Drosophila melanogaster: one gene and its partner. The protein of the gene in region 2 interacts with the protein of the main gene of each other region in a biochemical or structural test. Each region holds a gene or a part of one and is shown on either strand. Other genes may lie near its edges. The genes, in order: tra2 and tra.

Region 1 (5,127 bases), on a different chromosome or scaffold from region 2:
CTCAGTCTCTGGTGGACACCCTAAATGTGGGCGTGGCTCAGGCCTACCTGAACCAGAAGCGGCTGGACGCAGAGGCAAAGCAACTGCACTTGGGCGCCACCAATTTCGCCAAGCAGACCCACCAATGGCTGCAGCTCATCGACCAATTCAGCACTGCCCTAAAGGATCTCGGCGACGTGGAGAACTGGGCACGCAGCATAGAGGGGGACATGCATACGATTAACCAGACCCTAGAGCTGGCCTACAAAGCCTCTCGAGCGACACAGACATCGAGCGGAGCAGGTACATCCCTGGAGGCCTCTACTTCAGCGTCGGCAAGTGCAAATCCCAGTGCTACTTGAGCGTTTTCCAAAGAATGCATTTGTATCCTGTGGAGATCCATTGAGTAAGTGTATGACCGGTTCTGCTTCCCATACAAACTTAGTTAATCCTAATTAAACTGAAATTTATAGAAGCTTAAGTAAATGATATGTACGACCAATTCAATAAAACGCCCATTCACAAGTTAATCGTCGCTTCTGTACAAATTAATCTTTATTTTGTACCTGCTGCACAATTGCATTTATAATTAAAATTAGTTTAATGTTATCATTATCAGTTTGCTGCAGTTCCTTTAAAATACATATCACAATCCATGCGGACCTCTGTATGTAATGTTGGTAATTGATTTGATATTTACAATTTATGTTTTTATACAGCATTAATAATAGTAACCGAATTATTATGATTAAAGGGTGTTTTGGGTGAATAATTAATTAATCTAGTTGCGAACTGTTCGCCAACCAAATGCATTAGATGGGATAGGATTCACCAAAACAATATTTCAGTCGTATGCTCCTTTACAGCCCGTTTGACACAATCCAGTTGGGCGAACTTAGGAGCACGAGTTAATGAAGTAGCCTCCTCCCCAGGCGCTTTAATAGCGCGATGAAGTTCGACCTAATCGTGGAAAATATACAGGATAAACGTTTGATTAAATAGACGGAGGAATAAACTTTACGTAGTTGCGGAGAGCGTGAACGGCTGTAGCTCCTGTTGCGAGTGTAACGGTTGCGACTAGGGCTCCTGCGGAGATTACGGTCGTAGCGATCGTTGCGGTAATCATAGCGATCACGATAGTTGTCATAGGGCGAAGCGGAGCGATCGTGATACACACGGCGTCCTCTACGCGGTGAAAATGAGCGTGGAGCTTTTCCACGCGGCTGACGACCCAAATACACACCCGGAGTTGGGGTATGAGCCCGTTGGGTTATAGAGAAATCGACGCGAATACGGCGACCATCCACTTCTATTCCGGAGCAGCTGTCCTTAGCCGCGCGGGCATCGCTGAGTTTCTCAAAGTAAATGAAACAAAAGCCCCGGGAACGCTGTGTCTGTATGTCAGAAGTTATTAAGGGTTAATCTACGTTTGTGAACTTGAACTTTCCTAACAACTGAACACATATTGATTTCGGGAGATCAATATTTCCTTCGAACAATATGCCACTGTGACAGCAAGCCTTTAGCTTTTAGTTTGGAATACACAAAAACTCACAATCGCTATCAAATTTTATCTAGCCAGAAATTAAGACAAAACTGCAGGGCTTCAGCGGATTTGTCTACACAAAAGGATTCAGGCAGGAAATATCTTAGCAATGCTTATCGAAAACCGACTTACTTGTGCGTCAATCACCATCTGGATGCGTTCGATAGGTCCGTACTTGTTGAACAGCTCGCGTACCTTGTGCTGCGAGGTATTTGTGTTCAGTCCAAAGACTCCTATGCAGCGGCTTGCTTGTGGATGTTCCTGAAACGCCGAAGATCTTTAGGATTGAAAGGAGGCATTAATCGGCAGAATGGCTTACGCGAGACTTGTGCATTCGTTCGCGATCGCGTGATGAACGTCCGGAGCGATGACGCGGCTCCGGTGGCGGCGACTCCGAGGAGGAACGCGAACGGGAGCGTCGGCGAGAGGAGGACCGCTGGTGCCGGCGACTGCCACAGTAATCGTAGTCAGACCTTGATTCGATGTGGAATGGAATGAAATAAGATTATCTTGCGGTTCGTTCTTGAGGGTCTTGAAAAGTTTTGTATTTCGTGTGGATTTCGGGTGGTTCTTGCACGCCTTGGTAACTGACAGTTGGAAAATTTGTGTGACTTGACAAATGCTACGGTTGGGTTCGACCTCTTTCGGCCAAATTCTTTGGTAGTTGGACGTAGAATGAAAATGATTGCTTCGGTGGGTTCTTACATAGTGATGTTCGTTGGTTGGTTGGTTGGTTGGTTGGTTTCTTCCAATGAAATGAAATCGGCTTGAATGATTTTTGGTTTTAACTTTCTTGGCAAGAGCACCAGCTGAATCGGCTGAGGGGGCAAATCCAAATGAAAGGGCCCTATGACAGTTGAACCTTTTTTCCAAACTGCCAGTCAAAACTACTCGATGCTTCATGTCAAAAGAGGTATCGTTTAGGGTCGTCTCACATATGTGTGTACACATTTACCTGCGGTCCTTGTGTCCGGATGAAGTTGTCCCCGCTGACGATGATGACGCCGATCGCTTGTGTTTATATCTGGCGCTGCAATGGAGACGCCCGCTACTGAGTGGCTCCCGATCCATTGGCTTTTTGCTTACCTATCGAAACTTCGCTTATCGGAGCAATGGTGGCGAAAAAAGAAGATGAATGGGTGCACACTATTTGGATTGCCGTTCTTACCATTTTTGAGGGTTTGATTCCCTGCTATATTGCACACCCAATCAGTGTTTACCAATTAATTGATAGCCTTTGGCAGGTTTTATTTATTCTGTCTGCGTTTAGAAAGACGCACGCTTCAACAGGGGTGGCGATAGGTGAGGACGTGCGTTATCGATTGGCACTTTAACCCTTATGCGGCGTTGTCATCCATTTAGAAAAAAAAAACACAAGCGGAATTTATTTAATGTTATCGAATATATTTAACAAATTAAATCAGCATAATTATTATGTACTTTATTCAACGAAATATAGGAAAATAAACAAAATTTGTACTACAAGAAAACAATACTATTTGATTGGTTAGCAAACCATTATGTTATATGGATTTTGTAATAGTACAATTTATTATTCTTGCTTTTAGATAGTCATATACAAATTTAATCCTAAATCACAGGTTAGTTTAGCGATACCGCATAGACCACATATTCTTCACCATCACATAATTATATAGTCTCTGGTGTTCCAGATGATGCAGATCCGTGATGGTTTTCACCACTCGCTCGTCGTTGAAGTGGCTTTTAGGTGGGGCTTCCAGGAGATTTCCCGTCGTAAACCACTTTAGGTTCGAGAAGTGCTTTCTCACACTGTCCCGCAGAGCAACTCCACTGAAAACTGGTGTGCGGTACAGATCAAACATATTCTTCTTGCCATACTTCTCGTGGATCTCATCAACGGTCTTGTCCAGATCAGGCTGCTTGGCGTGATATATGACCCATAGTTTTCTTTGTGGGGCACGGAGATCTGTCAAGCTAAGAACTCCAAAGAATTCTACTATGTAGGGATTGAGTTTGGGTGTTTCAGCTTTTGGTTTTAGACAGAACAATTTTCTCAAATGGCTGTCGATTTCCTCATCCAGGTTGTAATCTCCTTCTGCGAATCGGTTGTTAATCATCGTTGATGTTCCAAATAAATAATTTGCCGTTTTAATTACCCGTGTTCTTATCAGTTACTGAATTCGTTGTCATATTTTAATAACGAGGTGACTCTTGCTTCTCTGACTTCTGAATGCGTGTTAACTTCCTACGCACTCTTATTAAATACCCAACAAATACGATTTCAACTGATTTGTATAAAGTTTGTTTCGTTTTGTTTACGATTTCCAATTTCACAACAAAAGAGCTTTTTGAAGCAACCCTGTGGCCTATCAAAAAACAGTGAGCTTTTAATGCGCTTGTTTCTTTTTAATACCTATTAATGCAGACAACTAGGGTGTTTATGTTTGTTGATTAGGATGATCGGATGACTGTGTCTTTAGACTCCAAGGTATATACTATTATGTACTACTATATTATAACCGCAAGCTACTTGTGTGTGTATATATTTTATTCGACATATTTTTATAAATCATTTAACTTGACCAATAGGTTGTAAAATGTATAATAATACCCCCTATCAACAAATACACATGCCGCTTTTAGTCAACAGATGTCGACTGTAAGTCGATGTTTTTAGTTAGTTTAATGTTTAGCAGGAGGTGGTTTTTGATCATTATACCGCTCAAACCAGGCGTGTTGTATCATTATATAGTCAAAGATTCTTTTTTGCTCCTTGTTATGCAAGTCCGAAACAGTTTTCACTAGTCTTTCATCATTATAATAACTATTTAGTGGAGCTTCCAATTGATTTCTGCTTGTGAACCATTTTAAGTTGGAGAAATATTCTCTGACGACTTTATGAAATCCCACTCCGCTGAATGTGGCGATCTGAAATATTTCTCTGACATTCCTATTGCCATATTTCTTTCGAATCCTTTCCAGAACCTTTAACCTTTCTAATCTAAGGCCATAATAAATGTACCACCGTTTTTGGGCAGCGACATTTGGTTCGTCAATACTGAATATTCCGAAATATTCTATCGTATCAGCATCCAACGACGTAGGTTCTGCAACTGACTTCATATAAAATAGACGTCTCCAGTACTTTTCCAATTTATCGTCCATGTTGCTAATATTCCCTGCTATTAAGAAATATAATCAGATGAAAACTTAAGGTGATTCATAGGCTTTGCCCATTGATAAGTGTGCGGCAATTTTGCCTTCCTACCTCAACAAGCGTTAAAAGAATACTGGTTAGCATTTATTGGCATTTATTATTTTAAAGCTTTATTCTAGAAAGTCTTATACATAAATGAAAATATTTTATGCATTTATGTTTCGATATGTACACGATTTATACAGATTACTCCTAGACATAAGGTAATCGAAGTATCTTCTCCTTTCGTTCTGATATAAATCTGCAATTGTGTTAACCACTTTCTCATCATTAAGGGAGCTACCTAGCGGGGCTTCCAAAATGTTTCCTTTTACGTGCCACTTAAGCCCTTTAAAGTGGTTCTTAACACGGGATCGCATTCCAGCCCCTGTATATACCGGTTTTCTGAACAGCTCGTACATAT
Region 2 (3,355 bases):
AGTAACTGCTCTCAGTGAAAGCTCAGACTGGCTTAGTTACTTGTATACATGGCACATACTTATATGATAACTACGTATCTTATCTTTCAGATCGACATACTGTGCAACGAGGAGCTGCTCGGCAAGGATCACACGCTGAAGTTCGTCTACGTGACGCGCTGGCGCTTCCGGGATCCGCCGCTTCGGCTGCAGTTTCGTCCGCGGGTCGAGCTCTAACCACTGTTTTAGTATAATGCCACAACAAATGATCTATTTTTATAATTTATTGACAATGCGTAAATATCGTAATTAGGAGAGTCGCTAGTGTTAGTCCCCTCGAAACCATGAGTGTATGTGTAAATGTGCATGTATAAAGTCGTAAATATATGGTTATCCCTCCTAGAATTAAGTAACTTCCACTTCCTAACTCGTGTGACCCTTTTTTTGCCGCCTTCTTTGCTGCATTTGCTCATGATTTAATCAACGTTCTCCGTTTGCAATATTTTATGTTCTCCATTTTTAGTTTGAAATATATATGTATTTATTATTTTAATGTACAAAACACACGAATGTAAATAAATTTGTAATTATGTCGAATGGAGTATGTTCAATATGGGGGACGCCCCGCGTTTCTGTAGCCAAATCGCGGAACTCCAATGAACGGCGGTCGCTGGCGGTATCTGTAGGGGGCCGGTGGAAACGGCGGAGGACGTGGTAGCCTTTGGTATCCAAAACTTTGCTGCATACCAGACATCCCCTGCAAAATCGATTTAAGTTAGATTTGTTATTTGTTTCAATACAAATAACTACTAACGTAGAAATCCTGTGGTGGCACTTGCACATAGTAGTTGATGATCTTTGGCGGAGGATTATACCGATGCGGGCTCCGTTGACGGCGTCTTCGTTCACTGCTGCGACTTCGGCTATGTTGACGGCGTTTTCGTTCACTGCTGCGACTTCGGTTGCGATTGCGGCTCCTAGAGCGCTGGCGATGCCTTCTGTGCCTGCTCTCTCTGATGGACGACTGTGATCTGGATCTGGAGCGAGTGCGTCTGGTGGATTGGTGCGCTCTTTGGCGCAATCTTCTCAACCGATCCTGTTCTCGAACCTCGTCTGCAAAGTACGGAATCTTGTGCTCCTTCTTTCTGCTGTCCCTCTCGCTTGATCGCCCATGGTATTCTCTTTCTCGCCGGGATCGAGACCTTGAGCCACGGGAATCTATGTGAAAAGAGTGTGCGGTTAGTCAATGCATCTAACGCATAGTGTTTGGCGCATCGTCGGAGACGGAATCCACGTAATGCGCAGTTGAGAGTCCTATTGTCCTAGCTTCTCTTTCTCTGTCTGGTCGTCCAGCGTTCATTCTCATCCATTTCACATTTCACACAATATGACACTAGAAAAAAAACAACAAAAAGATGGCACTGGATCAGAATCTGATCAGATCGGTTATACTATATAGTGGGTACCTCGATGCTGGGTTCCACTGCTGTCGGCATCCATTTTCATCGGAAAATGCTGGAAATTAAATGATGCACTTTCCTCAGTGTGACCGTACTCGGCTTGCACCTTGCAATGTGCCCGCCAACTCACTTTTCGACGAACTATCGCTACATATACGTTACTTTTTGAATATTCGAGAGCAACATATCAAAATTTAAAATTAACTCATATACTTTATTAGTTTTTATTTAAGCTAAATTCAACTTTTAGGAAACAAGCGAGTATTTTAACTTTAGGGTTATGCGTTTTCCTTACAAATACTCTGCAAACACGGTTTCATTTCACAAGTACACAATACAATTTTTGTTTAAACTAACTACACAAACATAGGGAAAGCAGAATTAGCAGGCACAAATAAAACAAATTTTAAAATTTAAAACTAATCGGGACACTGATGCGCTCGTTTTCCATGGAGACCACAATGAGCGGCTCCCTTTCGAGCAAATCCTGCCTGGGTGAGCGGAGCAGGCGCACATCGATCTCCGCGTGGCCGCCATCCGGGGATACGTAGCACTCACTGGGACTGATTCGCACCAAATCGGGCACATTGCATGTGACCTCGATGAGCTGCCTGGAGCAGAAGCTGTTGGTTACGGACAAAGTGGCCAGTGGCGAACAGCCCACTCCGAATTCCAGCAAACCTGGCTGCACACACCAGTTTTGCTCGACGGGCGTCAACGTTGTGGTGTCCGCCTCCAATAGCTCATCCACTGGCTCCAATAGATGGCTCTGCGTTGGCGTCGGCGAATTGGCCACACATATGGTGCGGAATAGCACGGTTTCGTCGGCCTCCGGCAGGAACATCAGGGAACTCTCAGACGATTCATCAAAGTCCCGATTGAGGGTAAGCGCAACATCAATAATCCGCACTACTGTGACCAAGTCCAGAATAAACTCTGGCGGTTCGTTCAGCTGACCGATGTTGCGCACTGGCTGCTCGTCCGGAAATTCGCCCCAAATGCTGTCCAGCATCGGCGATGTGAGTTTCTCTCGCTGTCGGCTGCTCATCCTTTGGACCAAGCTACGCATACGCTGTCTGTTGGGCTCGTCTCCGCAGAAAATCCGCATATTGGCCAGGGTCAACACCTGTGCGGTCTTCTTAAGTATGTTCTTCAAGTCCTCACGATTCGGTCGGAAAAGTATCTGCACGCAGCGCTCGCTATTTGGCGGCAATATCAAGCGGCTCGGACGTACCTCGAAGGCCTCGCTGAGGCGCAGTTTCATGAGCACGGTGGAGTCCACTGATATACCAACGAAAGCGGTGAGAGGGCCCTTGTTGTGAAACTTGAGATTCGCCGAAAGCGGACCAGCGGACAGCTCGCATACATCGCCGATGGTAAGGAAACTGGCGCCCACCGGTCCCTTTAGCAGACCGTTTATGGTGATGGACGCACTGCCCCCGTAGCCGTACAACGGAATCTCTAGGCCCGGCTGGTTGCTGTTATGCGCTCCTGGTGGTGCATAGAAAGACAAGGCTCCGATGGCCGCTCCACAGACAGTGGGGCAAAAGTTGATCACTACCGAGCGGCATTCCATGGCTTGGAGTGTGATCGTGCTGCTGTCGGTGCCCACCAGCTGGAATCCGGGTCCCTGGATGCCAAGCCGAATGACCAGCCGTTTGTCCGCTGTGTTCTTAACCTGCATGGACTTACGCACATCTGTCCGCAGCTTTGTGCTTCCCCAACAGAGGGTCGTGTGGGTCACCTTTAGGGGGAGCAGTTTTCCATCGCGATGACTGAACTCACTAGAGTTCGAGCAGCGCGAAATACTACGTGGCACTGCAACAGAGCTGGTTCCCAACCCACGTCTTCCACTCGCTGTGAATCCGCTGGTGGAACTGGCCTCACTACCTGCGGGCGAGGAGTTTGCTTTGCGG

What was found.
Region 1: the proteins of tra (region 2) and tra2 interact in far-western blotting, tested with the Drosophila melanogaster proteins (one study listed by BioGRID).

The regions. Positions count from the first base shown.
Region 1 is NT_033778.4:14,601,504-14,606,630, forward strand, and holds tra2 (transformer 2), read right to left. Parts: upstream 2,835-5,127; 5' UTR 2,694-2,834; intron 2,636-2,693; exon of another isoform or gene 2,626-2,635; 5' UTR 2,597-2,625; coding exon 2,481-2,596; intron 2,423-2,480; exon of another isoform or gene 2,233-2,422; coding exon of another isoform or gene 2,231-2,232; exon of another isoform or gene 1,999-2,230; coding exon 1,845-1,998; intron 1,787-1,844; coding exon 1,658-1,786; intron 1,622-1,657; exon of another isoform or gene 1,483-1,621; intron 1,403-1,482; coding exon of another isoform or gene 1,391-1,402; exon of another isoform or gene 1,374-1,390; coding exon 1,001-1,373; intron 940-1,000; coding exon 917-939; 3' UTR 501-916; downstream 1-500. Other genes in the region: Blos1 (biogenesis of lysosome-related organelles complex 1, subunit 1), read left to right, coding at 1-341; CG12868 (uncharacterized protein), read right to left, coding at 3,133-3,602, 3,664-3,697; CG33469 (uncharacterized protein), read right to left, coding at 4,190-4,672; CG33468 (uncharacterized protein), read right to left, coding at 4,871-5,127. UniProt on the Drosophila melanogaster protein: Required for female sex determination in somatic cells and for spermatogenesis in male germ cells. Positive regulator of female-specific splicing and/or polyadenylation of doublesex (dsx) pre-mRNA.
Region 2 is NT_037436.4:16,589,559-16,592,913, forward strand, and holds tra (transformer), read right to left. Parts: upstream 1,493-3,355; 5' UTR 1,486-1,492; coding exon 1,446-1,485; intron 1,373-1,445; coding exon of another isoform or gene 1,302-1,372; exon of another isoform or gene 1,198-1,301; coding exon 794-1,197; intron 737-793; coding exon 587-736; 3' UTR 501-586; downstream 1-500. Other genes in the region: l(3)73Ah (lethal (3) 73Ah), read left to right, coding at 91-216; spd-2 (spindle defective 2), read right to left, coding at 1,846-3,355. UniProt on the Drosophila melanogaster protein: Member of the regulatory pathway controlling female somatic sexual differentiation, regulated by Sxl. Activates dsx female-specific splicing by promoting the formation of a splicing enhancer complex which consists of tra, tra2 and sr proteins.